7 linked regions of the Ovis aries genome follow. The protein of the gene in region 7 interacts with the protein of the main gene of each other region in a pairwise test. Links are inferred from orthologs where the notes say so. Each region holds a gene or a part of one and is shown on either strand. Other genes may lie near its edges.

What was found.
Region 1: the proteins of ZGPAT (region 7) and ZBTB8A interact in binary tests that used the Homo sapiens proteins (3 or more experiments, as listed by UniProt). The two-hybrid records come from large-scale screens. The link is inferred for Ovis aries from reciprocal best matches to the Homo sapiens genes ZGPAT and ZBTB8A.
Region 2: the proteins of ZGPAT (region 7) and SSX2IP interact in binary tests that used the Homo sapiens proteins (3 or more experiments, as listed by UniProt). The two-hybrid records come from large-scale screens. The link is inferred for Ovis aries from reciprocal best matches to the Homo sapiens genes ZGPAT and SSX2IP.
Region 3: the proteins of ZGPAT (region 7) and BEND5 interact in binary tests that used the Homo sapiens proteins (3 or more experiments, as listed by UniProt). The two-hybrid records come from large-scale screens. The link is inferred for Ovis aries from reciprocal best matches to the Homo sapiens genes ZGPAT and BEND5.
Region 4: the proteins of ZGPAT (region 7) and CDR2 interact in binary tests that used the Homo sapiens proteins (3 or more experiments, as listed by UniProt). The two-hybrid records come from large-scale screens. The link is inferred for Ovis aries from reciprocal best matches to the Homo sapiens genes ZGPAT and CDR2.
Region 5: the proteins of ZGPAT (region 7) and CCNDBP1 interact in binary tests that used the Homo sapiens proteins (3 or more experiments, as listed by UniProt). The two-hybrid records come from large-scale screens. The link is inferred for Ovis aries from reciprocal best matches to the Homo sapiens genes ZGPAT and CCNDBP1.
Region 6: the proteins of ZGPAT (region 7) and LZTS2 interact in binary tests that used the Homo sapiens proteins (3 or more experiments, as listed by UniProt). The two-hybrid records come from large-scale screens. The link is inferred for Ovis aries from reciprocal best matches to the Homo sapiens genes ZGPAT and LZTS2.

The regions. Positions count from the first base shown.
Region 1 is NC_056055.1:235,011,042-235,014,541, forward strand, and holds part of ZBTB8A (zinc finger and BTB domain-containing protein 8A), read right to left. Parts: intron 2,364-3,500; coding exon 2,031-2,363; 3' UTR 1-2,030. UniProt on the Homo sapiens protein: May be involved in transcriptional regulation.
Region 2 is NC_056054.1:61,693,323-61,696,822, forward strand, and holds part of SSX2IP (afadin- and alpha-actinin-binding protein), read right to left. Parts: intron 2,108-3,500; coding exon 1,997-2,107; intron 410-1,996; coding exon 274-409; intron 1-273. UniProt on the Homo sapiens protein: Belongs to an adhesion system, which plays a role in the organization of homotypic, interneuronal and heterotypic cell-cell adherens junctions (AJs).
Region 3 is NC_056054.1:23,286,363-23,289,862, forward strand, and holds part of BEND5 (BEN domain-containing protein 5), read right to left. Parts: intron 2,419-3,500; 5' UTR 2,388-2,418; coding exon 2,221-2,387; intron 1,771-2,220; coding exon 1,661-1,770; intron 1-1,660. UniProt on the Homo sapiens protein: Acts as a transcriptional repressor.
Region 4 is NC_056077.1:20,559,589-20,561,984, reverse strand, and holds part of CDR2 (cerebellar degeneration-related protein 2), read left to right. Parts: intron 1-721; coding exon 722-870; intron 871-1,127; coding exon 1,128-1,292; intron 1,293-2,359; coding exon 2,360-2,396.
Region 5 is NC_056060.1:36,643,523-36,646,968, reverse strand, and holds part of CCNDBP1 (cyclin-D1-binding protein 1), read right to left. Parts: intron 2,863-3,446; coding exon 2,766-2,862; intron 2,592-2,765; coding exon 2,521-2,591; intron 1,942-2,520; coding exon 1,865-1,941; intron 1,512-1,864; coding exon 1,231-1,511; intron 1-1,230. UniProt on the Homo sapiens protein: May negatively regulate cell cycle progression. May act at least in part via inhibition of the cyclin-D1/CDK4 complex, thereby preventing phosphorylation of RB1 and blocking E2F-dependent transcription.
Region 6 is NC_056075.1:21,595,350-21,599,584, forward strand, and holds the start of LZTS2 (leucine zipper putative tumor suppressor 2), read left to right. Parts: upstream 1-1,435; 5' UTR 1,436-1,535; exon of another isoform or gene 1,536-1,805; intron 1,806-2,028; exon of another isoform or gene 2,029-3,834; intron 3,835-4,209; exon of another isoform or gene 4,210-4,235. UniProt on the Homo sapiens protein: Negative regulator of katanin-mediated microtubule severing and release from the centrosome. Required for central spindle formation and the completion of cytokinesis.
Region 7 is NC_056066.1:53,744,868-53,749,070, reverse strand, and holds the start of ZGPAT (zinc finger CCCH-type with G patch domain-containing protein), read left to right. Parts: upstream 1-1,403; coding exon 1,404-1,990; intron 1,991-4,203. Other genes in the region: ARFRP1 (ADP-ribosylation factor-related protein 1), read right to left, coding at 110-202. UniProt on the Homo sapiens protein: Transcription repressor that specifically binds the 5'-GGAG[GA]A[GA]A-3' consensus sequence. Represses transcription by recruiting the chromatin multiprotein complex NuRD to target promoters.

The sequences.
Region 1 (3,500 bases), on a different chromosome or scaffold from region 7:
AAACAATTATGAGAAAGCATATCTCTGATAAGGCTCTACAAGTGCTGGTGGCACTGTGTTCCGTGGACGTTGCTGACATTCATGCTGATGTTTGCATGCAGAATATAGTAGCATTAAAGAACATTTAGGTCATAGACTAAAGTGCGTTAAAGTATACACATGCACGCATGACTTCATTTCTATAAATAAAGCTCAAATCAGTCATTTTTCTTATTGGCTCCAATGGTTCAGAATCATATTATGCTTATGTTTCCTCTCTCATGTGTAACAGTTTAATTGTTAAGACTCCTGATTCAGGAATGGTCATACTGGGAGATAACAAACGCAACGCACACTATCCAGTCTTGAAGCAACTGGAAATTACCATCAGGACAATCTCGAAAAAAAAAAAATCAGAATTAAGTACCATAAAACAAAGTGGTTATCACCTATTAATTTAAAAAAATGAAAGAAATTAACCACTTTAGCCCACAAATTGGTGTTAAGGACAATCGTTAATTAAAGAATAAGAGAAAATAATAATATAAAAACTATATTGAGGTATGTCATGGCAGTTAAAAATACAGAGTACTACATGGAGCCTCTCTCTATCAAAATTAAATTAAAAGAAGCTTAATTGGGATAACTTGCCAAGACTTCTATGAAGGACAATTTTTACTTCTAGTATTTAATCTTTACAACTAAAATAATGCTTCTTCACTTTGACTGTAATTTTGGAATGTTTTATAATTTATGTAGGGGAGGAGTTAAAACTTCATTTTGCATCCTAGTAGAAAAGTTTGTTTTAAAAAATTACATAAGCAAAGATGTTTAAAGAACTTAGGAGAATAACTTGTTCAAATAGTTTTATACATAAATTTTACATATAAATAACATAAAAACATGTCAATAGATACTGTAGGGACATTGCTTGACACTTCTTGAATAGCTCTAGTGCAAGGTATTATATGTTGTCGAAGGTGATTAAATTCTTCTTCTTTCATATGTTCTCATTCTCATAGGCTTCTTTTATAATTATTGCAGACTGGTGAGGTTTGACAATTCAAGGAGAGACAGTTGAAAGAGGACTATTTAAAATCAAAACCTGTCCAATCTCTGGTCCCACCACTTACACTTTCTGACCTTAATTTCCTTATTTGTACATTAGAGACAGTGCTATCTACCTTGCTGATTAGGTGGGGAAATGCAAGAAAGAGCACTTTATAAATAATAAAGCAGTATATATATGTAGGAAATTACTCTTAAGAACTGGTAAGAACCTCCAGTTTTCACTCTTTTTTTTCTTTAGAGAGGAAGATAGCTATATTGACCGATCTTCAAAAACTACGTCGACAATATTAGGTTCCCGCTTTCAGAAAATGATGTCTATATATAATCTCTGGTCAGCTTCTTCTTTTTTTTTTAAATACTGACTACATAAGAGTAACTTCTAATTTAATGACAAAAATTTCAAATATGAATGACTTCAAACATTTAGACTTGCCTTCTGCCATAATCCTAAAACACTTTGCATATTGGAATTATGATAGGTCATTTTAGATCCAAAGTTAACAGAAAGTCTAATTAGTTAAGTCAGGTAGGTTTCCAGACCCTTAAATGTGCTCTGACCTAGTTCCCTGCGAAAATTTAATAGTGGTAGTTTACATGTTTGTGAAATACTTTGAAATTATTTTATATAAAGTTTGGTTGTGGTGAATTTATTGAAAATATTTTCTTTGAAAATAGTTCCCTAAGTAGATTTTTCAATATATTTTTTTAAAAGGTATTTCTGTAACACAATAAAAGTAAGAGGATTAAATTGTTCATCCAGCGTGTCAACTCAAGCTAGGTCTTTCTTTCTAGTGCAGCAACAGATTTTAGGGCAGTAAAGTTCAGAATGGATACAATGGCCTGTTCAGAAAGCATGCAAGTGGTGTCAGGCCATTACTTTTAAGTTGATCTGAAAATTTGTTGATTAGACTCTGACCGTGGAAAGAGAGTGACACATGAACGTCAGTGTAAGCTGCAGGCCCTGTTGGTTCACATTCCAGCTACCTGATGTTGGGCTTTATTTCCTTTTCTTCTTCTTCTTCACTATCATCCACCTGTTGTATGACCAGATCGGCAGACCCATCCTCGACTATCTCCACGTACGATCTGTTCTCATCTTCACCCATGTGCCATCTGGAATCCTTATCTCCATCTGATGGGGACATAAGATGCTGTTCAGCTTCCAGATCAATGGGGAGGCTGTCTATGCCAACTTCAGCAAGGCACTCATTACAGAGTCTGTAGCGCCTGGTTCCTTCCTGTACCACTTGGCCTGTTAGGTCAGTCACGTGGCGCTTGCATTTTCTGCAGATAAGTTTGCATGCCTGGTGAATCTGTGTAGAGAATTAAATAGCGATTAAAAAAAAAAGATTTTTCAAAAGCAGAATAGTTTGATATTCTAAGTACCAGTTCATAAATTTAACATGTTCAAAGCCAAGCATTAATATTAAATTAACATCTAGTTTATTAGAAAAAGGTCACAGGTTTTGGTAATAAAGTAATGTCACAGAAATATCAAACACTAGCTTTCTCTAAATTATGTCTATTATGTTTTCATGGTTAATATTACATACTTAATAATTTCACATATCCCTTAATCCAATAGTATTTTTATTTCTGAGGTAAGTGAAGTCGCTCAGTTGTGTCCGACTCTTTGTGACCTCATGGGCTGTAGACTACCGGGCTCCTCTGCCCATGGGATTTTCCAGGCAATAGTCCTAGAGTGGATCGCCATTTCCTTCTCCAGGGGATCTTCCCAACCCAGGGATCGAACCCGGGTCTCCCGCATTGTAGACAGACGCTTTACCATCTGAGCCACCAGGGAAGTCCATATCTGAGGTAACATGGGACATATTTCCAGAATAATAATTGTAAACACTTAATATCTGCCATATACTATTCTAAGGACTTTACATATCTTAATTCAGGAGAAAAAACTATTTTGTTATTTTGCTTGAGGAAGAAAAAATAATGTCCCAAATGTAAATTTATAAAAGAATATTTTTTGATGTAAGGATTATTGCCACTTTTATTAATGAAAGATGTTGTAGAAAGAAGACTGGTCTCTCTGCTTCTGTTATTTTCTAATCTTGTCATTTACTAACCATGTATAGTGAAGCAAGTCATTTAAAACAGAAACCTGCCTCCAGGGTGACTGTCAAAGTATTTAGAAACTGGTAAGGTATGGGTACCACGCAAACAGAATAGAAGCTTGATGACCAGAACGGATACTAGTTATAAACAACCAAGATGGTGGTTCTGCTACATATTGGTCTATTACTATTCGCAACCGCTCCCTTATTACCAATAGGGATACACTTCAGTTTGTGTGGACCAAATGAGTTAATATGTGTGAAATGCTTTGCGAAGAGGTTATAATTGATGAATAATTATATATTATAGTTAGTAATAAATAACTTTGTTCAATAACTATCCGAGTAGTAGATTATAGATTCTAGCCTAAAAATTAT
Region 2 (3,500 bases), on a different chromosome or scaffold from region 7:
CTCTGGCTTAGCTTTCTTCTGTGGATTAATCCTACATCTGTCACGGTAAAAAAAATACATGCAATTCTTATATGCAACTAAAGTAGCAAAGCAAAACCACTATTTTTCAAGTAACCAGTTGTCTCAATTTCTAGTTCATATGGATATATACCATCTACAATCAATTATATAAAGAATGAAAATGACACTTCAGGAATTACTGAGCTCAATTCCTCTACATTTCTTAGCGTAATACTAATTTATTTCCCTTTATCTTAGCCAGCTGCTTTTTACCAATTTTTTTATCCTTCTTGTTCATAACAAGTTGATGTAAACGTTCCTTTAGTTTATTATATTCACGCTCTTTTCTCTTCATATCATGATTATACTGAGTAGCTCGACTTGCAATGATATTTTGTAATTTCTGCACCTAAAAAAAAAAGCATTTTCTATTAAATGAGTCCCTTTTGGATGGGTAAACTCAGTTAAAATTTACAAATTCAAGAGAGAGAAGTCATCCTAGAATTTAGCTCCTCAGAATAGTTTAAAAATTATAGGATTATTCTTCCTTCTCTATAGCCACTGGAAACCACTCTTTAAAACATCATTAAATAAAGCACATAGAGTGCTTATTTTTTAATTCTGAAATTTCCAGAGCTTATAACTCTCTAAATTATCTTCTACACCTTTCACCCTAGGTATATAGATTCTGATCATTTAGAAACCACAAACGCTTATGGAAGTATTAATGTGATTAAAGCTTCATTTGAAACAAGTAGATCATTTGTAAGGACTTCCTTTTACCACTGACTTGAATCATTTTATTCTTTCTCAATCTGTGACAAGCCCAATTAGTCATGGCATGTGGCAGCAGATAAACAGGTTTGCTTTTCTCTCATCAAAAACAGTTCTCAAATTAGAGTGAGGCAAACAGCAGACAGAATCTGGTTCAGACATTTGCTAAGTACATATTATATGCCAAGCACTACTGGTCAATGTTCGTATCTGCTACGACTGCTTAGGCAGCCCTGGATGGGAAGTAAGTTCTTTAAAGACATTCTTTATCTCTACTAGAGATGATCATGTTTAACTTAGTCCTTACGAAAGAAAAACGATAGTCAAACCATTTCAAGTATAATCAACAGAGTAAGTCAAAATTTTCCGTGAAATAACTCAAGGAAAAGTATACATAACCTTGTGGTTTAGGTAAGATACTTCATTATCCAATTACTAAATATACTACTACATAATCAAACATGCCAAAACAAACTTGTCTAAATCACTGTAAGGTTCTTCAAGAAATATGCTCCCTTAAAAGTCTAATTATCATCAAAGTAACATATACAACACTGAAAATGTTCTGCTTTTACAGTGATCACGTGGTCAGAAACCAAACCACAGAGCAGTAAAAACCTAGTGATTTCTTCTTATATAAATTCAAAGATAATTTCAAATGCATTATTAGTTCTACAGGTCCAAATACCAAGTAATCAATAAGGCAAAAATGAGATTAGAATTATAATGTCTTCAGCCTAGAAATTAGATTTCTAATGTGAATTGCTTTTTTCAAACAGTAACTCGTGTGTTCATTTAGTCAAGTAATTGTCTCACTAGATGGACAATGTCAATATTTCAGATAGTTCAGGAAGAAGCATTCAAGATACAAGTAAAGGTATGACAGAGAATAAAAGATGTGCATTTAAAGCACCCCTGTGTCTGACAAAAAGTGGCGTGCGTGTTGAGCCCAGGATGGATGGTACAGAACACTGGATGTCACAAGCTGCGCACTGACACACTAAGCCAGATAAGCCCCTAGGGGAGAGGGAGCTAGAGAGGGTTCCTGACCTCTCAGCTGAGTACGATGCAACACTATACACACAGAGGTCTGCCATACCAATCTGATACAGGATGAACAAACGGTTTTCTTGTTATAAAGTTAAGTGACCGTTACAGTCACCTCAAATTACAAACAACAAAAAATTCACTTCAACTTTATCTGCAACAACTGACAACTCACCTCATCTTTCTCATTTTTCAGTAGCTGATGCAAATTCCTATTCTTGCACTGTAATTGTCTGTCTCTTTCCTGAAGACCAATCATTTCTCTCCTGGAGGTTTCCAGTTGTTCCTAAAACATTCGTATGCAATTTTGACTAAAATTAACACTGGATTCAGAGCAACTGAATCCTTAAAAGATTAGTAAAAACAAGTTACATGCCCTAGGATTTGTTACCCAAAATTGAAGTTTAGCAGCACACAAAATATTTAAAACAATTATAAAGCTTGATACTATAGTTACAAATTTTAAATTTGGATAGCAAATTTTAATTTAAATACCAATTTTAATATAAATGCAAAAGACCTTCAAAGTGGATCCTTCAAAAGGCCCTTCACCTATTTCAGTGATATTGCCACTGAACATTTTCATAATTTCCTTTTAATACTTTTTAACACTTCTATGACACACTCTTAAGAAAGATCCAGAAATGATTTGGAGCTAAGTCTAAAGACAGGTGACTATGCAAAGAAAAACACTCCAGGTCAGAAAAGGTGGGACTGCAGCATATCAGTCCTGCCTTGCAAACAGTAAAGTCTCTCAAAACCTTTCCCTAAGGGCAATGGCAGCATTGCCAGAATCAATATGGGATTAAAATGTGTGTGTGTTAGCCACACAGTGTGACCCCATAGACTGTAGCCTGCCAGGCTCCTCCATCCATGGGATTTTCCCGGCAAGAGTACTGAAGCGAGTTGCCATCTCCTTCTTCAGGGGATCTTCTCGACCCAGGGATTGAACCTGGGCCTCCCACATTGCAGGGGGATTCTTTACCGTCTGAGCCACCAGTGAAGCCCTGGATGTTCACTTGCAATTCATTTCACACATTTCCAGAGGAACTGTACCAAAGTATGCATGAAGCTGCTAGAATATTTTTTTAATCCTCTAATATTTATAAAATATAAAAGGCACTCAAGTGATGTCACAACTAACCACAAACAACTTGTATGATCTCTGGAACAATGGACCTCAAGAAAAATTTAAGAATAAAGCTTAGATAGCTACAAGGTTGCCAAAATTTCCTATCATGCTTACAACTTCCTATCATGCCAGACCATCTGGCACTGGGCCAGCTGACATATCCCACACACATCAAATCAGATTCTCTCAGAGTCATCCACACTTTACATGAACTTACCATCTTCTCTGCAAATCTATTTCTTATCCCAGTGAATCATACCGCCATCATCAGTAAATTCAAATCAGAGACCTGAACAGTATCTTTAACTCATGACTCTCTTTTCCCCAAATTCAATTTTTCATAAAATTCTACTCATTCTACTTCTTGAGTTTTCCTCACGTCTCAGTCTTACTCTCTTCACTGGCACTTTCTCAGTTCAAGCCCCAACACCTCTGGACCGAGCGATTGCTAAGGACTGCTAAGAGATGACCTTTTCACCAGGCTTCCTGAGCCTTTTCCTCCATTTCTCTATCTTCTACACCTCCTCCTCTAATCTCTTCAACCAAC
Region 3 (3,500 bases), on a different chromosome or scaffold from region 7:
AAGGCCCCCACTTGTCCTTTTCTGGGGTCAGTGGACATTCATTGACCCTTGTTCTGGGTTGAGTATTCTGCTAAGTGATCTGTGTCTTTCAGATCCTTACAACCCAGGAAGTACCAAGAATTTCAACCAGAATACAAGGCTTGACTTTCAGAGAGATGCTGGCTCATGTGGGACAAACCTCACATCTCCAGGTCTCCTTAATCCTCACCCTGAGCTAAAAGTGATGCCTCCCATCCATTCTAGCCCACAGATTATGGAACACTCAGTGTCACTGTAAGAAGTGGGTGAACTGGTTGGGAGAGGGAGGCCCAGGACTGAATAAAGGCTGCCTAGTCTTTCGAATTAGGTGGTCCTGGTTTGGAACTCTGGTTATGCTACCTGCTGACTATGGGAATTCGGGCAAGCTACTTCATCTGTCTGAGCCTCACTTTCATTATTTCTAAGGTCGGGATGATAAACTGTTTTCCAAAAGGTGATGCTTATAAAACACCAAGCACTGTGCCTTTCTTGTCCAAGATGTTCAATGAATAGCAGCGATGAGGCTGTTCTGTGGGTTATGTGCTTGGCTTTTATCCTTTGGCACAGAGAACCACTGCAGGCATCCAACACAGATTGGGACATGATGAAGGAGATGTTTCGGGAAGATTAATGTGGCAGTGGTGAGCAAGATGGATGAGGTGTGAGGAGGAGACTGAACATAGGGTGACAAGAAGCTATAACTCTTGACTGGTCACATTAATGAAGGTGAACGATGGTGTGGATCATCTGAGACAGCAGGTGACTTCATGTGGCATTTTAACATGGCTTTGGAGTCTGTGTCTGGCTTTGCATTCCAGGAAACAACAGAAGAAATTAGCAATGGACTCAAAGGGATGAAGAAAACTCTCTACAGTCAACCCACCTTTGCAACTACTTCAAACTTAAGACCCAATAATCAGTTTTAGTGCAAACAGAAATAAACATATAGCCTCTGAAGAGACTATCTTCTTTGACTCTGACTTCCTGATTGTTTCATTTCCAGGGCAAGAAAACCACCGAGGATTTGGGCATCAACGATCTCATCCTCCTTTCTAGCTTCTGTGGTGTTAGCTAACCACATTCATCTATTCAACAAATATTGAGTAAGCATCTACTATGCACCAGGCTCCATGCCAAATTCTTTACTAACTTCAATATATTTAATCCCCATGATGATTCTTTTGAAGCAGAAAATGAGGCTCAAAGTGAGGTGGTTTGCCTAAGACATAAACTAGAATTTCCAGTCACGTCTGCATGACACTTGGACCATTTCTATTACCTAATTATCCTATAGGAACAGGGGAAATATTACCAAGTTTTGTAACTTCCTCAACTGAACTAAAAGGCACATATAAAATGACAAGTTTATCAATATAATCTCCCAAGGGCCAGCCTTTTTCCTAAGCCCATGCCTGCATCCAGGAAAATGCTGTGATAAATTCCCAAACTCAACTTAGCACAAGTGTGACTCAACACCAACCTCCTGAACTGCAAGCTTCTCAAGACCACCAAGCCCTAAACAATCCCCCCAAAGAGCCCCTATTCAAAGCCACAAAATGTGGTAGAAGCCGCTCTTCAGAAATACACAAGAACTTGGTGCCTGTCATTCATCTAAGAGGGAGAAACATCCCATGAAACTTACCACTATTGAAAAAAAAAATGGAGGCATGGTAATGAGCAAATAGTGTTTTAGAGAACAGGCTGGTAGACAGGAAATCCCATGCAAGTCTGTCTTCAAAAGTGAAGAGACCCCTGGAGAATTAAAGTACAATTACAATGGGAAAGGCACTGTCTTAATTTCCATTTTGCATAAAATCATGCTGGATAATTAAAAGACTCAAACGTCAGAGTTTAATATGGTGTGGGCTTGTTGGTTATGATGAAATTCTGAAAGGCTAAACATAACCCATTTCACACAGGCTTTGTCTTATTTTAAAAAAAGTATCTACATGCCAGCTTCAAGTTCTTCAACAGTCTAAAAACCCTGTAATGCCTATGTTTGCTTCAGAAACAGACATGCCACAAAAAAAGCATGTGTATCTCTCATTCTCTGGCCTCTGTTTCTATATCATCCAAGGCAGACAAAATTCCCAACTTTTTAGGACTGTATCTAATCAAGACAACAAGAAGATGAGTGCCCTGCTGTGGTAAAGCAGAAAGAAATCAAGAGACAAGGGTTTGAGGCACGACTTTGTAACTCACTCTCCGGGTGACCGGTCACTTCCTTTCAGCTCTCTCTTCTGTAAAACAACAGGGACTGGACTAGAAAACTCAAGAGAACTTCCAGCTGTGTGACCACTGGACAGCCACAGGGAGTTCCACTTCTCTTTCTCTTCCGTGCAGTGCTGGATAAGAGCAGATGATCCCATCCCTCCAGGTGGGCTTGTCTGAAGAAGTGTCCTGATGAGTCCATCCAAAAAGGGAGAGAAGAACTGACAACCTGGTTTTGGTAGGTCTCCAGGCTCTCACTATCACAGCCTGCCAGGCCTGGGTACAGGGTTAGGGCACAGACAAAACCAGGAACCTTCAACCTGCTGACTCATTTGTCTAGCTACCCTCATGTGCTTTACCAGGCTGTTGCCAGGGTAATAAGTGGCCCCACCACAGGGTCACAGGCGGGAAAATCATGGGGTGAGATGGGAAGGCTTTCATGCTAAAGTCAAGCCCCAGGAGGATTTACAACACACACAAGTTACATTTTAACCCTGTCTGCTCCTTGGTCCTCTAAATCGTTGCTTTCTACCATAAAGGGTAGTACCCACACTAAGCAAGCTGTTCTTTCAACAGTGCTGAGCCATCACAGTCCTTATCAATTACCTACATTTAATGAGTGCCTACTATGTGCCAGATAACTTCCATGTTACTTTGCTAATAACACAATGATATAATGGGTAAGTAGCTCACGACTCTCTCTGTTTGGGCACCCAAAACTCAGAGAAGTGACGTAATCTCCCTAAGGTCACACAGCTTGTAAGCAGAGTCACAGTTGGAACCCAGACCGCCTGATTTCAAAGCCTATCTTCTTTCAGCTCTCTAATACTTCCTACTTGATACTTAAGGAAGTGACCTGGGAGAGGAGTACCTCTAACCAATTCTCCTATCATAGGGCAGGAGTTCATTCCGCAATGTCCACCTTCCCCGACAGGGAGCTCATCACCATGTTGGAAGCAGTGTTCACCTGCTCTTATTATAGTCCTCCCACCAACTCCTATGAATTCCAGGACCTAATTTTACTTCTGGGACTCCAAAGAACAGGTATGATCCTTCCTCTGCTGCTGCTGCTAAGTCGCTTCAGTCGTGTCCGACTCTGTGCGACCCCACAGACGGCAGCCCACCAGGCTCCCCCATCCCTGGGATTCTCCAGGCAAGAACACTGGAGTGGGTTGCCATTTCCTTCTCCAATGCATGAAAGTGAAAAGTGAAAGGGAAGTCGCTCAGTCGTGTCCGACTTTTCGCGACCCCAGGGACTGCAGCCTACCAGC
Region 4 (2,396 bases), on a different chromosome or scaffold from region 7:
AAAAGTAGACCAGCCTAAACTGTATTGGTGAGCTTTAGGGGAACTAAACATATAAAGGACGGCCTGTACTCAGCTCCTTTTAAGAAAAGTAGTTTAACTGAGATTTGAAGTTCTTCATTTCGTAAAATAAACTTGTGGTATTGTGGTATAATGAAAACTATATATTCGACCTTTGTCCCCATGTCCTGAATCCCTCGGAATTTCCTGAATGATAGAATGAGACTGCTCACCAGAGGAGCCGACCACATGATTAGAGGGTTAGAACTTTCAGCCCCGTTGCCAGCCTCTGCAGAGGGGTCAGGGACTGGAATCAAGTTTGTTCACCAGTGGCCCATGATTTAATTAATCATGCCTGTGCCATGAAGCTTCAGTAAAACTCTAAAAGGAGACCAAGAGGTTTCCAGGGAGGGTGGTGCATCTGAGAATAAAACTGTAAGTAAATCCCTTTCCCAAGCTCTGTGTGTTGTTTTAGCAGATTATTGAATGTGAGAGGAGGTCATGGGAATTCCCTAATTTATAGTTGTTTGGTTGAAAGGACGGGTGGTCCCTAGGACTTACCTCTGGTACCTGAATTGGGGGCAGTTTTGTGGAACTGAGCCCTTATCACTCCAGGTGGTGTCAGAATTGAAGTGAATTGCAGGATGCATTCTGTATTATACCTGGAATACTGCAGGTATCCCACATGTTTAATGTGTAACCTGGTCACAATTATCTCTTCCAGTATCTGACCAAGCAGGTGGAGCTTCTGCGGCAGATGAATGAACAGCATGCAAAGGTTTATGAGCAATTAGACGTCACAGCGAGGGAACTGGAAGAAACAAATCAAAAGCTCGTTGCTGACAGCAAGGCCTCACAGCAAAAGATTCTGAGGTAAATTCTTTAGAATCTGTTGAAGAAGCCCTAGGGGAAGTCATTTAGTATAAACTAGAATAGAACATGGCTGTAGTGGGTTCAGGTCAGTGTGGGGTAAGCTTTAATTTAATTCTCTATGGAGAATAGAGATTAAATAGAAGTCTTTTCCAATTACAAAAGCCCAGTTTGAGTGGTTGCCAACTAAGCTCTCCTCACTGCTTATGCCTTTAATTTAATATGACAAGCTGCAATTGGCTTCTGTCTGTTCCTCACAGTCTGACTGAAACGATTGAATGCCTGCAAATGAACATTGATCACCTCCAGAGCCAAGTGGAGGAGCTGAAATCATCCAGCCAAAGGAGAAGGAGCCAGGGGAGGCATGACCAGGAGAAATCGGCCCCCAGCTTCTCGTCTTTGAAAGAGCTGTATGACCTCCGCCAGTAAGAGCCCACCTTCCATTTGCAAGCAGGAGAACATCTCGTGTCATTGGCACATTCTGGATCCCAGTAGATTAAAAGTACCCTTTTAGGAAATGCCGCTTGGCTATTAGACCACCAGTGGTTTGAACAAAACCACTTAAACATACATGTGATAGTTTTTGTTGTTGTTGTTGTTGTTTAGTCCAATTGAAATTTCAGTAAAACAAAATCCAGGCAAACAGAAGGCTTTTTTTTTTTTTTTTTTTTTCCTGAAGAAAAGCCTTTTACAATTTAGACTTTGGAGATTGAATCTTCATTTAAGAACTATTTCTTGAACACCTGTGGTAAGGCAGGTGCTATGCCAGATGTGAGGAGTGGTGAGCAAAACAGACACAGTTTCTGCCCTCATGGAGCTTTCAGTCTCAGGAAGAGGCAGGTAGCAAATAAGTACAGTTACAAGTTGCCCAGGACTCTGACCAGGAGAGAGACCAGCTCGTGCATTTGGTGGGCCTCAACTTGACTGTTCAGATCGCCATCAGGCCTAATCAGAATCTCTAGGTATGAGTGAAAGGCTATTCAGGTGATTCTGATGTCTGTCTGTTCTTGGTTTAAAATCACCGCAGCAATGGTTCTCAGTCTTAGCTGCATATTATGAATCATAGGAAGAGCTTTAAAAAATACACACCCTCTAGTTCATGTGGCAGACCAGCTAGGTCAGCATCTGTGGGGGTGGGACCCAGGCGTCAGTATGTTTTAGGACTGCCCAGGTGATTCTAATCTGCAGCCAAGATTGAGCACCACTGGCTGTTCTGATCTCCTTGAACAGTCTCAGTCATACTACTGGTCTTTGGGAATGGATGTTCTATAGCATTTTTAATGTTTTAAAAAAAAATTAATTACACAAGATGTGTGTTCCTCCATGTGTTGTCAGCCTCACACATTCGTTTTAGCCGCTGCTCTAGGGTGGAATAGGCAAAAAATCAGTCATATCACAGCTCCTCAAAAATATGTAGTTGGAAAAAAATCATCAGCCTCCCTCTTTGCCTTCTCAGTCGGCCTGTGTAAGAGTCTTTCAATATTTCCCCCAGGCACTTCGTGTACGATCATGTGTTTGCCGAGAAGATC
Region 5 (3,446 bases), on a different chromosome or scaffold from region 7:
AGGTGGTCTCCAGGACACAACTAAGGATGCAACGAGTGAGGAAATAATTCCCAGAAATGCATCAGTTCCTTACACTGGGCAACCAATAAATAACCAATTCAACTTGTATTTATGGAACACATACCTACTCTGTTTTACTAAGAAGTTGAGGGTGGGGGGAACTCCCTTGGCCAGTAGGATGGAACATTATTAATTAAGTTAAAAGTGTTTGGATCTGAAACCATAAGTTTAATAACTGATATAGGCAGGGTTCATCCCTGAATGCCATTAAAGTAGGCACCACTTTAATCAAGCAATCAAGTTAGTGCTGTACCACCAAAAACACGACAAACTAATACCACGTGCCTCTCTGACATGATGCAATGAAAAGCATGAAACACTCAACCAAGCGATATTCTGGCCGAAATGTTTAACCTGAACATAATTATGAGAAAACAACCACATGAATCCAGATTGCTAGATATTTTACAATGTAACTGACTTGGATTCTTTAAGAATGTCAAGAAAATAAAAAAAATTTTTTAATGTCAATGACAAAAAAAGCTAAAAAAGGACAGGGACTGTTTTAGTTGCAAGATACCAAAGAAAAGACAACCAGATGCAGTATGACCCCTTGACAGAACCCTGAATCAAAAAACAAACAACAAAGCTATAGAAGACGTTTTAGAGACAATTTGGGAAATCTGAATATTAGATAATATTATTATACTCAGTATAATCTTTATCGTCAGGGAATGGCAAACCACTCCAGTATTCTTGCCTGGAGAATTCCATGGACAGAGGAACCTGGCAGGCTACAGTCCATGGGGTTGCAAAGAGTCAAACATGACTAAGTGACTATCACAAACAAACACATATTCAATGTAAATTTCTTAAATGTAATACTAAGAGTAAAACTGTTTTTTCTTAGGAAATACATGCTGAAATATTCAGGGAAAAACATCACTGATGTCTGCAACTTACAAATGGTTCAGGGATGAAAATAGCACATCTATTTCAGTTTTTAAAAAGGTACATCTAATTACAGAGAAATAAACCAATACAGAAAAAAAAAAGTGAACAAGAGGTGAACCTAGATGGAAGTACAGGTACTCGCTACAATACTTTTTAACCTTTCCTGCAGGTTTGAAAACTTTCAAAACAAAAAGATGGGGGAAAACCTTGAGGTGACGGCACAAGTTGAGGTCAGAATGCTGCTGCTGGGATGTTTTGAGTGGAGGTCACGCTTACCTAGGGCTGATCTCATCAGAAATGTCCACAATGTCATCCAGCTGGGCCACCTGATCCTTCTTCCCGTTCTCTGCCACTGAGAGCCGAATTTTCTTCAGGCAGGCTTTGGATGCTCTCGCCAGTGCAAGGCATGGGATTATGAGCTCCTGGTCTCCCTCTGACCAATATGAGTCCCGATTGTTTGGACATCCCAATATATCCTCCTCATCAACATGGTTGTCAGAGGTGTCCTCCTCAATGTCATTCAAGAGGCCACAGTAAGGGTCACATTCTTCCACAGCCTAAGATACAACAGGATATATGTGCATGCCAGGAAAAAAAAAAGTAATAATACTTTTAGCATCATGTCGGAGTTGTCCCCAGACTTCAGCCAGCTATTTCTCTAAATGGCTACAGAGCTGAATCACCTCACACATGCTGTTCTAACTCTCCTAGTGCAGCAATGGAACAGAGAGGAATGGTACAAATCACACCCCCACATGGGGGGGGGGGGGGGAGATGGGAGATGGAGGGTGGGAGTGAGGGGGGACCCATGTGGTCCACGCTTGACATATCTTCTCTCTTTATAACCAATCCTCATCTACTAGACACAGAGAGGCCTTCCAATGACCATCAAAGAAAGAGGTCCTCTCACCTGCTCCATCTCCTCATGTGCATCCTTCACAAGATCCACACTCTTTGTCAGCACTGAAAGGGCTGCAGCTTTGTTATCTATGAGTGAAGAACGAGAAGCACTGCAGTTAGTGGAGAATCCCAACAATTCTCGAGTCTGCAAAAAGCAAGTGTTCTCATCTGAAGGGAGTGCCAAGGACAGTAAACAAGGGCAGCAATGAATGTAAAATTCTTCTCATATACATCCTCTGGGTGCCCAGACAGCGGGGCTAAAAAGCTTCCTGTCATTCACCATAGGAAGAAATATAATAGTCACATGATGTTTCTCAGCATGGCACCCTTGGATGACCACTGCTCTTAGCCTAGCAGGCTCTACCCCATAACTGCTTCAGTGTCTCCAAAATACTGCCCCTGGGGCAGGACCGGAAGAGAAAACCACATCTGTTCAACAACAGACAGAGCCACAGCCAGAGGGTGTTTGAATTTAGAAGTTACGTGAACTAAAAAGACTGGCAAAAATAATTAATACCTGTCTTTTCATGTTGGTGATAAACTAGACCTATTTCACTAAGTTCTTTACGTAAGTAAAAATACATACTACTACAAAACTGGCAGCTGGACGTGAGGTCTGTCAGCTTTGGCCAGCAGAGTCAATGTCTACTTTCTATTCTCACTCACCTTTTGGGATCTGAGGTATATGTTGGCAAGCATCCCAGACACTGTTGTAGGGAATCAGGTTCTCAGGGTTGCTGAAACGAATCAATAAGGATGTATCAATAACCTGGGTTCCTGTTTCCTACAAAGGTCCTTCCTGCTGGTCATTAATCTCAGTTATCAGTAACTTTGCTGTTAAAATGACTTTCCCCCGCCTCCCAGAAACAAAGAACCCCATTACCCAATAACTCCAGCTGTGGCATCACTACCTCTGAGCTGGATTGATGTAAAGTGCTTCCACAAGCTGAGCCATGTCATCCACGATGTCCAGAGTGGCGCTCCGCACCAGCTTTCGCAGGGTGATGCCTATAGCCAGACCCAAAGACTAATTAAGCAGCCTGTCTGTCTTTCCAGAAGTCTGGAAAGTCTTCCTGAGAATCTAAGCCCTACAGAATTTGAGGTAATGTGCACCCACATGCTTTAACCAGAGTGCCAACACAGAACCCAGGTCTTATGTATATCCCCATGTCATTTGCTTGCTCCTCCCACCATTCCTTAGTGGTATTTTCCAAAAGAGATCTGAAACAAAACTGTTCCATGACAGCATATATTCATTCATTAAAAAGTAGTTTCTTGGGACTTTCCTGGTGGTCCAGTGGCTAAGACTCTACGCTGCCAATGCAGGGGCCAGGGTTCAATCTCTGGTCAGGGAACTAGATCCTACATGCCACAACTCAGAGTTCACATGCTGCAACTAAAGACCCTACATGCCATAACAAGGACTGAAGAGCACGCCTGCCGCAACCAAGACCTGGCACAGCCACATAAATAAAATAATACACATTTTTAAAAACAGTGATTTCCTGGCATTTGTGGATAAAACACTTCAAGTTTAAACCACATGAGTAACCCTGAAGATCCATGAGACATGTATTCATTTCTAATTGTAA
Region 6 (4,235 bases), on a different chromosome or scaffold from region 7:
AGGGAAGGGGGACCTCCTCCAGGGCCTCCCTTCTTGGGGGTCTCTCCCAGACTGGCTGGAGCCAGTCCTCCTAATCCTGCAGTAATCATTCCCAGCCGCTGGCTGGTCTAGGCCTCATCCAGGGTCTATAACGTTAAACGTCAGCCATGCCTTCCAGATGCACACTACCAGGTCAGTCCTACCTGTAAGGATGTGGGTTCCACATTCTGGTCTTCTGTGCTCAGGAAATCTTTCAGGGATTTCCAAAAGGAGACTTTTATGAGGTCTATGAATTGGGGATAGAGGGATAGATACACACTTGCCTGTCTTGCCCCACCCTTCTAGCAGACAGCCTACACAGCAAACCAGAATGGTAGGGAGGAGGGGAAGCTAATGATCCCCCAGCCCCACCCCTACACACACACACACATTCCATTACACACCTGTCTTAAACCCCTCACGTGAAAATTAGCCCAAAGTATTTCAAGAGCCCCTGGAGCCCAAAAAGTAGCAGTTAATCCCTGGGTCCTATGTAAGGTCCCTAGGAGTCACTGTTTCTATACCCCACCTAAGAGGATTGAGGCAAACTGCCTGGGCTAGAACCAGTACTCGGCCTGTGCCCAACTGGAATCTTCCTGAGAGCTGAGGGAGAGCCTGGCCCAGTAGAATCCAGCTGGATCTGCAGGCTTGTCCTCAGATTCTCTAACCCCCTTGCCTGTAAGGGGGCAGCTTTGGTCCTCCATCCCTTCACTGGGGATGGGTCTCAGAAGAGACTCAACTCAAAGGGCTCCTGCTGCCCAAGTACTCAGGCTGCAGATATGACCCAAATACCTGTAGACATCACGGTCTGCCCTCCCACAGGCTGCCTTGGGTGCCATGGAGGGAGGGACCCTTTGGTGCAATACAGGTCAACTTCCTGTTTGTGCCTGTGGGTGGAACTTTATAAGTCTAAGAGAAGCCTGACTACACTCTGGTGGGGGGCGGGGGGCAAAACTGGCAAGCCTGCTCACCGGGCAGACACCTACTCCAGGGGAGGGGGAGGTGTTGGTTCTGCTTGAGCAGCCCCAACCTCAGAGGTGTGTGAGGAAGGGTGGGGTCTGTTTCGGTGAAATCCGAGCCTTCTTCGTCTGCTTCCCAGGGGTTTTCCCTGTGTCTGGGGAGTGGGCTGAGAGTGGACCAGGCTGGGCTCCCTACAGACCAGAGGATAGTGGCAGTAAAGCCCTATAGCCAACTTGGTTAGGGCAGCCAGGTAGCTTAGCTTAGCTGTGGCGCCGCTGGCCCCTTCCTAGATCGAAAGCCAGTTCCAGAAGCTGCGAAGTCAGAAGTCCGAGGGGCAGTCTTGGGCCACCGTCGCAACACTGCTTGGCAGGGTACCAGATCTGCTGCTGAGGGGGTGCTGGGCAGACCACTCCCCTGCCTTGGTCGGGGGCGCGGCCTCAGCCGCCCCGCCCCCTCCACCAAGCCCGGGCCGAGCGCGCTGGGGAGCCGGCGGATCTGCGACCAGGAGGTGCCGGCCCTGGGTCAGGAGCCCAGCGGGAGCTGGAACGGCGGTTAAGGTAGCGCTGGGTGAGTGAGTGGGGGCGCCGCGGCGGTGTAGGAACTCTCGCCTCCTGCACACCCCCGCCCCGGAGTGAAATTTCCCGATCCCGGGAAGCCGGGGATTGGGGTGAAGAGACGGGTCCTCAGTCCAGGGGCCGCGGGCGAAGAGTCTGAACAGGGAACCTACACGAAAACTCACACCGACGGGCGCACACACGCGTGCACACAGACCCACGCGCGTACTGGAGACACCTGAATACACGTGCACTGCGGGGCGGACGCGCCTAGTGAGTTTCGCTTGCTGTTGGCGGATCAGCGCCGCTGGCCCGCGCGGACCCCCAGCGGGCAGGGTGTGCTGCCGTCGCGTACTTGGTGAGGGTGGGAGAAAAGGGCCTCCCAGTGACCGCGGACGGGGGCGGGCCAGGTGGGACGCCTCCGGAGGTTCCGGCTTCCTTGCTGCCCGCAGGTGAAGACTAAGACGTAAACAGGCGTTGAGCACGTGATCGCTTCGCAGACCCGTGGGCTGTACGGGGGGAGCCTCGCGGCGGGAACCTCCCTCCGCAGTACTAAGCGAGTTTGAAAGATACATTGCCGGGCTGTATTCCATTCTCCCCTTGGAGGGGATAAGCCCTTCCCCAGGAATGGGAGCACAACGCCCCCCGGAGTTGGGGTAGCGAAGGAGGACAACAGACTGTTGGACTGAGAGGGTTGGTTACCTGGGCTCCTCACCTTCCTTCTCCGGAACATGTTGCCCCCATTCCTGAAGATACCCGAGAGGGGGGCAATTCTGGCAGTGTACAGCAGCCTCCGCCGGGACCTCCAGCCCCGGGGAGCATCTGCGCGAACGCCTGTGGGTCCCCTTTCTTACTACACTCCTCCTTGCGGCACTGGGAGCTCCTCCCCTCAAAGTAGGAGCAGAAAGCCCACTCACGCAAGAGTAGGAGTCCCCCTTCCCCAGAGAATGCATGACCGTACACATCCTCTCTATACCAGAGTGGGCCCGTCTCCCTCTGGTAGAAGGGAGCACGGCCCCCTCCCCCCAGCGAATGAGAGTGGGCAGCGGCCCTCGGCCTCCCTCTCCACCACCCTCCCTACCCCTCCACACACGCTGAGCCCAGCTGCTGCCTGAGCTTCTGGGCAGGCTGCCAGAAAGGGGAGGAGGCTCCTGGTGCCCCAGGAGGCTGGGATCAGGGCAAGGCCAGAAGAGGGGGTCTCTATGGGGGTGGGGCTCAGTCTGTACTTGTGAGGCAAGAGGGTCTAGGGTGAGCCTGAGGGTGGCTGGGCTATGTTTCCCTTTCCAGGGAAAAAGAAAGAAAACAACTCTTTCCATGGAGCTAAAAATAGAACTGAGAGCCGGCCAGGCTGCGGCCTGGAAGGGGGGGGCGGGGCGGGGGGAATGCTCCTTCCTGGGGCAGAGGAGCTCTGGCAGGCCTTAGTTCTGGGGGGCGGGGTTAGGGGGCAGGAGGCTGTCCTTGCCCAGGGATGCGGGCATCAGCTGACCTGGTTAGGTCACAGAAACCCCTATGGGAAAGTCTGTGTGATAAAATGTTTGTGAAATACGACGTGTATGTTTAAAAAGTTGTCTTTGTGACTGTGAAAAAGACTGTCATAGTGTGAAAAAAGCTTGGGAGGCAAGTATAGTCAAGACTGTGACTGGGTGCAAAGGAACTTGAGCTGTGAAAGCTTGTGCACAACTAGCCGTGATACCAAGTGTGTATCTCTGAGTTGGCCTGATTATGGCAAGAAGGGACATGGATCCTTCTGATGGACCAGACAGACTGAGTGATTGTGTCTGAGACTGAGTGTGGGAAAGGTCGTGTGGGTGTTTAGATTGTGTTGTTTGCCAGAGGGTGAGAGTATTCTTGACCCTGAGAAGACAGTGGAACGTTGTCTGCTGTGAGGCTGGCGTAAGCTTGGCCTGTAGGTTTGGACCAGCTCCCCCACTGGGGTGACTTTTGGGGGCCCAGGGGACGTCTCTCTCTTGAGCATTTACCTCTTAGCAAATGAGTCTGAGGGAAGGTTGGGGAGCAAAGAACCGCGCTCGAGGAAGGCCGGGGCTCTCCCGAGAGGGAGTACAGCACTGGGGAGAAGGGTAGGGGCCCCCCAAGTTTGGGGGTGGCTGTGTTCTCCGAACGGGCCGCCAGGTGGCGCCGCCTCCGCAAATCCTAGCGTGCCTTCTGCAAGCGGCTGGGGGTGGGGCAGGCACCCACCAAGCGTCGGCCCCCGACTTGTGCCAGGACGCAGGGCCAAGACTTGGGGGTTAGGTGACCCCCAACCTCCTTCTCTGGACTCTGAAGCCGGAGAGTGTGCCTAGGGGTGAGGCATCGACTAGAGGAGCGGAGGGGGAAGGGCGGCTGCCGCGGCGCCTGGCCCTTTGTGCTCGAACAATGACCAGCTGCCGCTGGCCCCGGGGCCCAAGTAAGGGTAAAGGGTGACCCGCCACCGCCTAGTCCTGAACCGACCGAGCCCCAGACACACAGCCATCGCTCCTCGGAGGGAGGGAATCTGAGTCCTGCTGCGTAGCTCCAGCGTGCGCCCCGCCGGACACGCGTGACGCCGGGTGCCTGCGCGTGTCCGCGCCCCGGGGGCGGGGTCACCCCTCGGACCCTCCCCCGCGCTGCACCGCCCACTTGGGCCGGGCGGGGGCCAGGCCGGGCTGGGGGCGCCGCGGAGGCGGGGCCGGGTCGGACCGGGCCGCTCCGAGTGGCGGCGCGCGG
Region 7 (4,203 bases):
TGACCTTAAGCAGGGTTCAGAGCCTGCCGGGGTGGAGAACACGCAGCTAAAAAAAACACCGAAAGGACTGTGGGGGTGGGGGATGGCGCTGACACGGAGCCACACTCACCGTCTTCCCGGCGTTGTCCAGACCCAGGATCAGGACGCAGTACTCGTCCTTCTGGAACATGTACTTGTATAGGCCCGACAGCAGCGTGTACATCCTGCCCTGGGCACCCGAGATCGGTCACGGACGAGACGGCCCGCACCGTGGACAGAGGGTCCCGCTGCCCGCACGGCCGCTCACAGCTGGAGCCCAGGGCCCTCCTGGCTCTGCCTCCCCTCCCTTCCCCTCCGCCCGCCTTCGCCTCCGCAACTGCTACAGAATCGCCCCGGCGCTCCAGGTGCCCACACGCCCTCTCCGGCCCGGCCAGGGCGCTCTGTTCGCAGGCAGAGGGCAGCCTGCCCCGCCCCGCTTCTCGCTGCTCCCCCGCCCGGGCTCCCTTCAGGCTTTGCTCCCCTCGGGTCTCCTTAACCAACGCCCCCTTCGCTCGCGGCCCGCCGCGAACGCCTCTCAGAGGCGGGGCGTCTGAGGGCTGGTGACTGCCCAGAGCAGTCGTGAGGCGGGCGGGCGGCGCGGACAGACTGCGGACCGGTCGCCGAGCCTGGGCCCAGCTCCACCCACCCGCCTCGATGTACCTGCGACCGTCCGGCCGGACCGCCGAGCCGCAGAGCAGGGGAACCGCCTTGCGCCTGACCCACCGACCCGGCGCTAAACCCGCGCGGCGCCTGACGGGACAGGCGCCGGTCGGCCGAGGAGGGGGCGGAGCCTTCCCGGCAGCCCCCGCGCCAGACACTTCCGCCGGCGGCGGTGCTCGGGCGGAAGCGCCTGTGGGCTGCAAGGGCGGAAGTGGGGCGCCGGACGGCTTTGGCCGGTGAGGCCGGCTGGCCGTCTGTGGCGGCGGCCGGGAAACCGCTCGGAGGAGGGCCTGGCCGGGGCGAGGGGGTCTGGGCAACGGGGCCTTGGCCCGAGGTTGCTGGCCGAGCGGAGACGGGCGGCGCGAGGCCGCAGAGGTGGGCCCGGCGGGGGACACAAGACTTGGACGCATAGACCCCGGAAGAGCTTGAAGGCAGCTCCCGGGAAGGGAATCGAGGCCGTGGGGCTAGTGGCCAAGGGCCAGCTTTGGCTCCTCCTCTCGGAGCTTGAAATATCTCCACGTCCAAACGAAGAGACTGCTGTTCACGGTTCCGCAGGCTGACCACCGAGGGTTGCAGTCGGCCAACGCTCAGTGTCGGCGTTGTGGGGGCCGTCTGTCCCAGACTCATCTGGCTTCTCTTCTCCGCAGCTCTGGCTCCCACGCCTCCCCTCTGAGGACCCAGGGACCCAGCCCCGCAGGCGCGGGAAATCGGCCCCTCCCGCCAGGATGGACGAGGAGAGCCTGCAGACCGCCCTCCGGACCTACGACGCGCAGCTGCAGCAGGTGGAGCTGGCCCTGGGCGCTGGCCTGGATCCCTCGGAACTGGCCGACCTGCGCCAGCTGCAGGGAGACCTGAAGGAGCTGATCGAGCTCACTGAGGCCAGCCTGGTGTCTATCAGGAAGAGCAAGCTGCTGGCGGCGCTGGATGGAGAGCGCCCAGTCCAGGAGGATGCTGAGCCTTTGGCTTTCCAAAATGCCATCGTGGAGACGGCGGAGGTGCCAGTAGCCCCCGGGGCAGAACTGGAGACTGTTCCTTCGAGAGAGACTGGGCCAGGACCCACGGAGCCTGGGCAGGAGGAGGACGACGGGGAGGACGAGGAGGGCGGGGCAGCACTGAGTGGAAGAAAGGTGAACGCCCCCTACTACAGTGCCTGGGGCACCCTGGAGTATCACAACGCCATGGTAGTGGGCACCGAGGAGGCGGACGACGGCTCCCCGGGCGTGCGCGTACTCTATCTCTACCCCACTCACAAGTCCCTGAAGCCCTGCCCGTTCTTCCTGGAGGGGAAGTGCCGCTTCCAGGAAAACTGCAGGTAAGGCTTGAGTTCTCTAGGCCACTAGCAGGGGGCGGGGGGGGGGGGGGGGGGGGGGGGGGGAGAGGGCCGCGGGGACTTGCGGACAGAACCTTTGCAGTTCTTTGCAGTTTTGTTTTTCTTGGCCGAGCAAAATGCTGAGAAGAAGAGAACTTTATAGAGGCAGGGGGTTCTTCTAGCAGTATCCTTCATTAGGGGGTCTTCTTGACTTTTCCCCAGGTATGTCAGGAGTACAGAAGGGTTTATGTTGAAAAGAATGGAGCCCTCCCCCCCCCCCCCCCCCGCCGCCTTTCCGTGACCTGTCCTATGCTTCAAAGTGAAACTTCTAAAATTTACTTATATTTTAGATATTTTATTAGAGAAGTGGTCAAACACCCAGGTAACTAGGGAGAGTAGCATAGAGACTGCTCACATGTCATGGTAGGTCAATGTTTTGCTGCTCTTGTATTCTCTGTTCCTGCCCCTGGAGTATTTTAAAGCAGGTTGTAGGACTTACTGGGCATTTTGCCTGTAAGTACTTCAGGATGCCGGCTTAACCTAAGTGACAAGGATGTTAAGTTAAAAATTACCTCCGTGTCACTCTCACACCTCACCAACTTAACAGCAAGACCTTGTTCGTATTTAATCACGAATGTAATGATGTTGTGTTTTCCTTATGTACATTATGTTTAATTTTGCTTCTTTTTCCTTTCCAAGGAATATTTCCTGAGATTTCTAGTAGATGATTTTCTTCTTTAATCAGTAGTCCAGGGTAACTATTCAATATCTTCAGTTGTTTGGTTATCTTATTTCTTTACAGATTTTTGCTGGGCCCAGAGTCTTATTTGGTGCGGTTCCCCTTTTTTTCCTTTTTCCTCATGAGTTTTGTGAAAAGTGTAGTGTACATACAGGAAAGTGCATGAATCAGTCATAAGCCTCCTTGAGCTTCCACAGGGTGGGTGCTGCCTTGTCCCCCAGCAGAGAGTTAAGGATCAGAGCAGGGAGCCCTCCATCCTTCCTGCCATGGTCCCTCTGGAGGGTTCCTCCCCGTCCCTGTGCCACGTCCATGTGGGGATGAGAACTGACGTATTCATGTGCTGCTTCCTCTGGGCAGCACTGTTCCAGGGGTTTCACGTGTATTCACTCACCTGGCAGCAAGCCTGCCAGGTAGGCCCTACAGCTGCTGTGGTTGCTGGACCCCCGAGGGGCAGTCCGGCTCTGAAATGCTGCTGCCTGCTGTCAGCTTCAGGCCTGACCCATGCAGCCCACCCACCCCACCACCACCCAGGTGTAACAGTTATTTTGTTGCTTTTACTTTGGATTTTTAGTTTAAAAATTTACTTATTTAAAATTTTATTGTAAAGATAAAGTAGTGTTGAAGCACCCTGGGACCTGCTTTCTATCCTCCCCTCCTGGGAGGCTTGCCACAACTATGATGAGCATCTCTCTAGCGTGTGAATCCTTTACAGGCACGTGTGTCTGTGAACAGAATATTCTTGTGCTTTATTTTCTAATTAAACTATGTTGTACAGCCTGCTTTGTTTTGCAACTTGCTCTTCTCACTGAGCGTGTCTGGGAGAGAAGTTTACATAGATATTTATAGGACTGTTTTGTGCATTTTAACTACTATTATTTTTCCTCATTCATATGCCACAGTTTATTTTGTCTCCTGGTGTTTACCAGTTTTTATTTACTAAAAAGAACACACTGAAAATCCTAGTACACATCTTTTGTCTCTGTTGGGAATGTCCCCAGTGTGGATGGCATGAGCATTTTCTTTCCTTGCGCGCTGTCTGCTTCTAAGCCCCTGGTCTGCTCTGTCGTGGTCACCCTAGTCACTCTTGGTCACGTTCTCTAACTTGGGGATTCGTACCTACTGAAGTGAAGAGGTGGTCTTGATTGAACTTGTATTTCCTCGATTATTAGGAAGATTGCATATTTTTTCATACGTTGTTCTAACTTTATCGCTCTGTGTTTCAGTATCCTTTTCCATAAAAAGGAGAGGAGCATGTCTTTTGCAGTTGTTGAGAGGCTGGAATGCATTAATATGCATAAAAAAACAGTACCTAACATGGAATAAGGACACAGTGGACTTAAAATTTTTATCTTGTTGTGAGAAAGGTCAAATCCAGAAAGTAAAGACAGCACAAGGGATCACTGTAACACTCAAGTACTCAGCTGAAAACTACAAAGCTGCCGGTTACTCTGGGGTCCTCTGTGCCTCAGCCCAAACA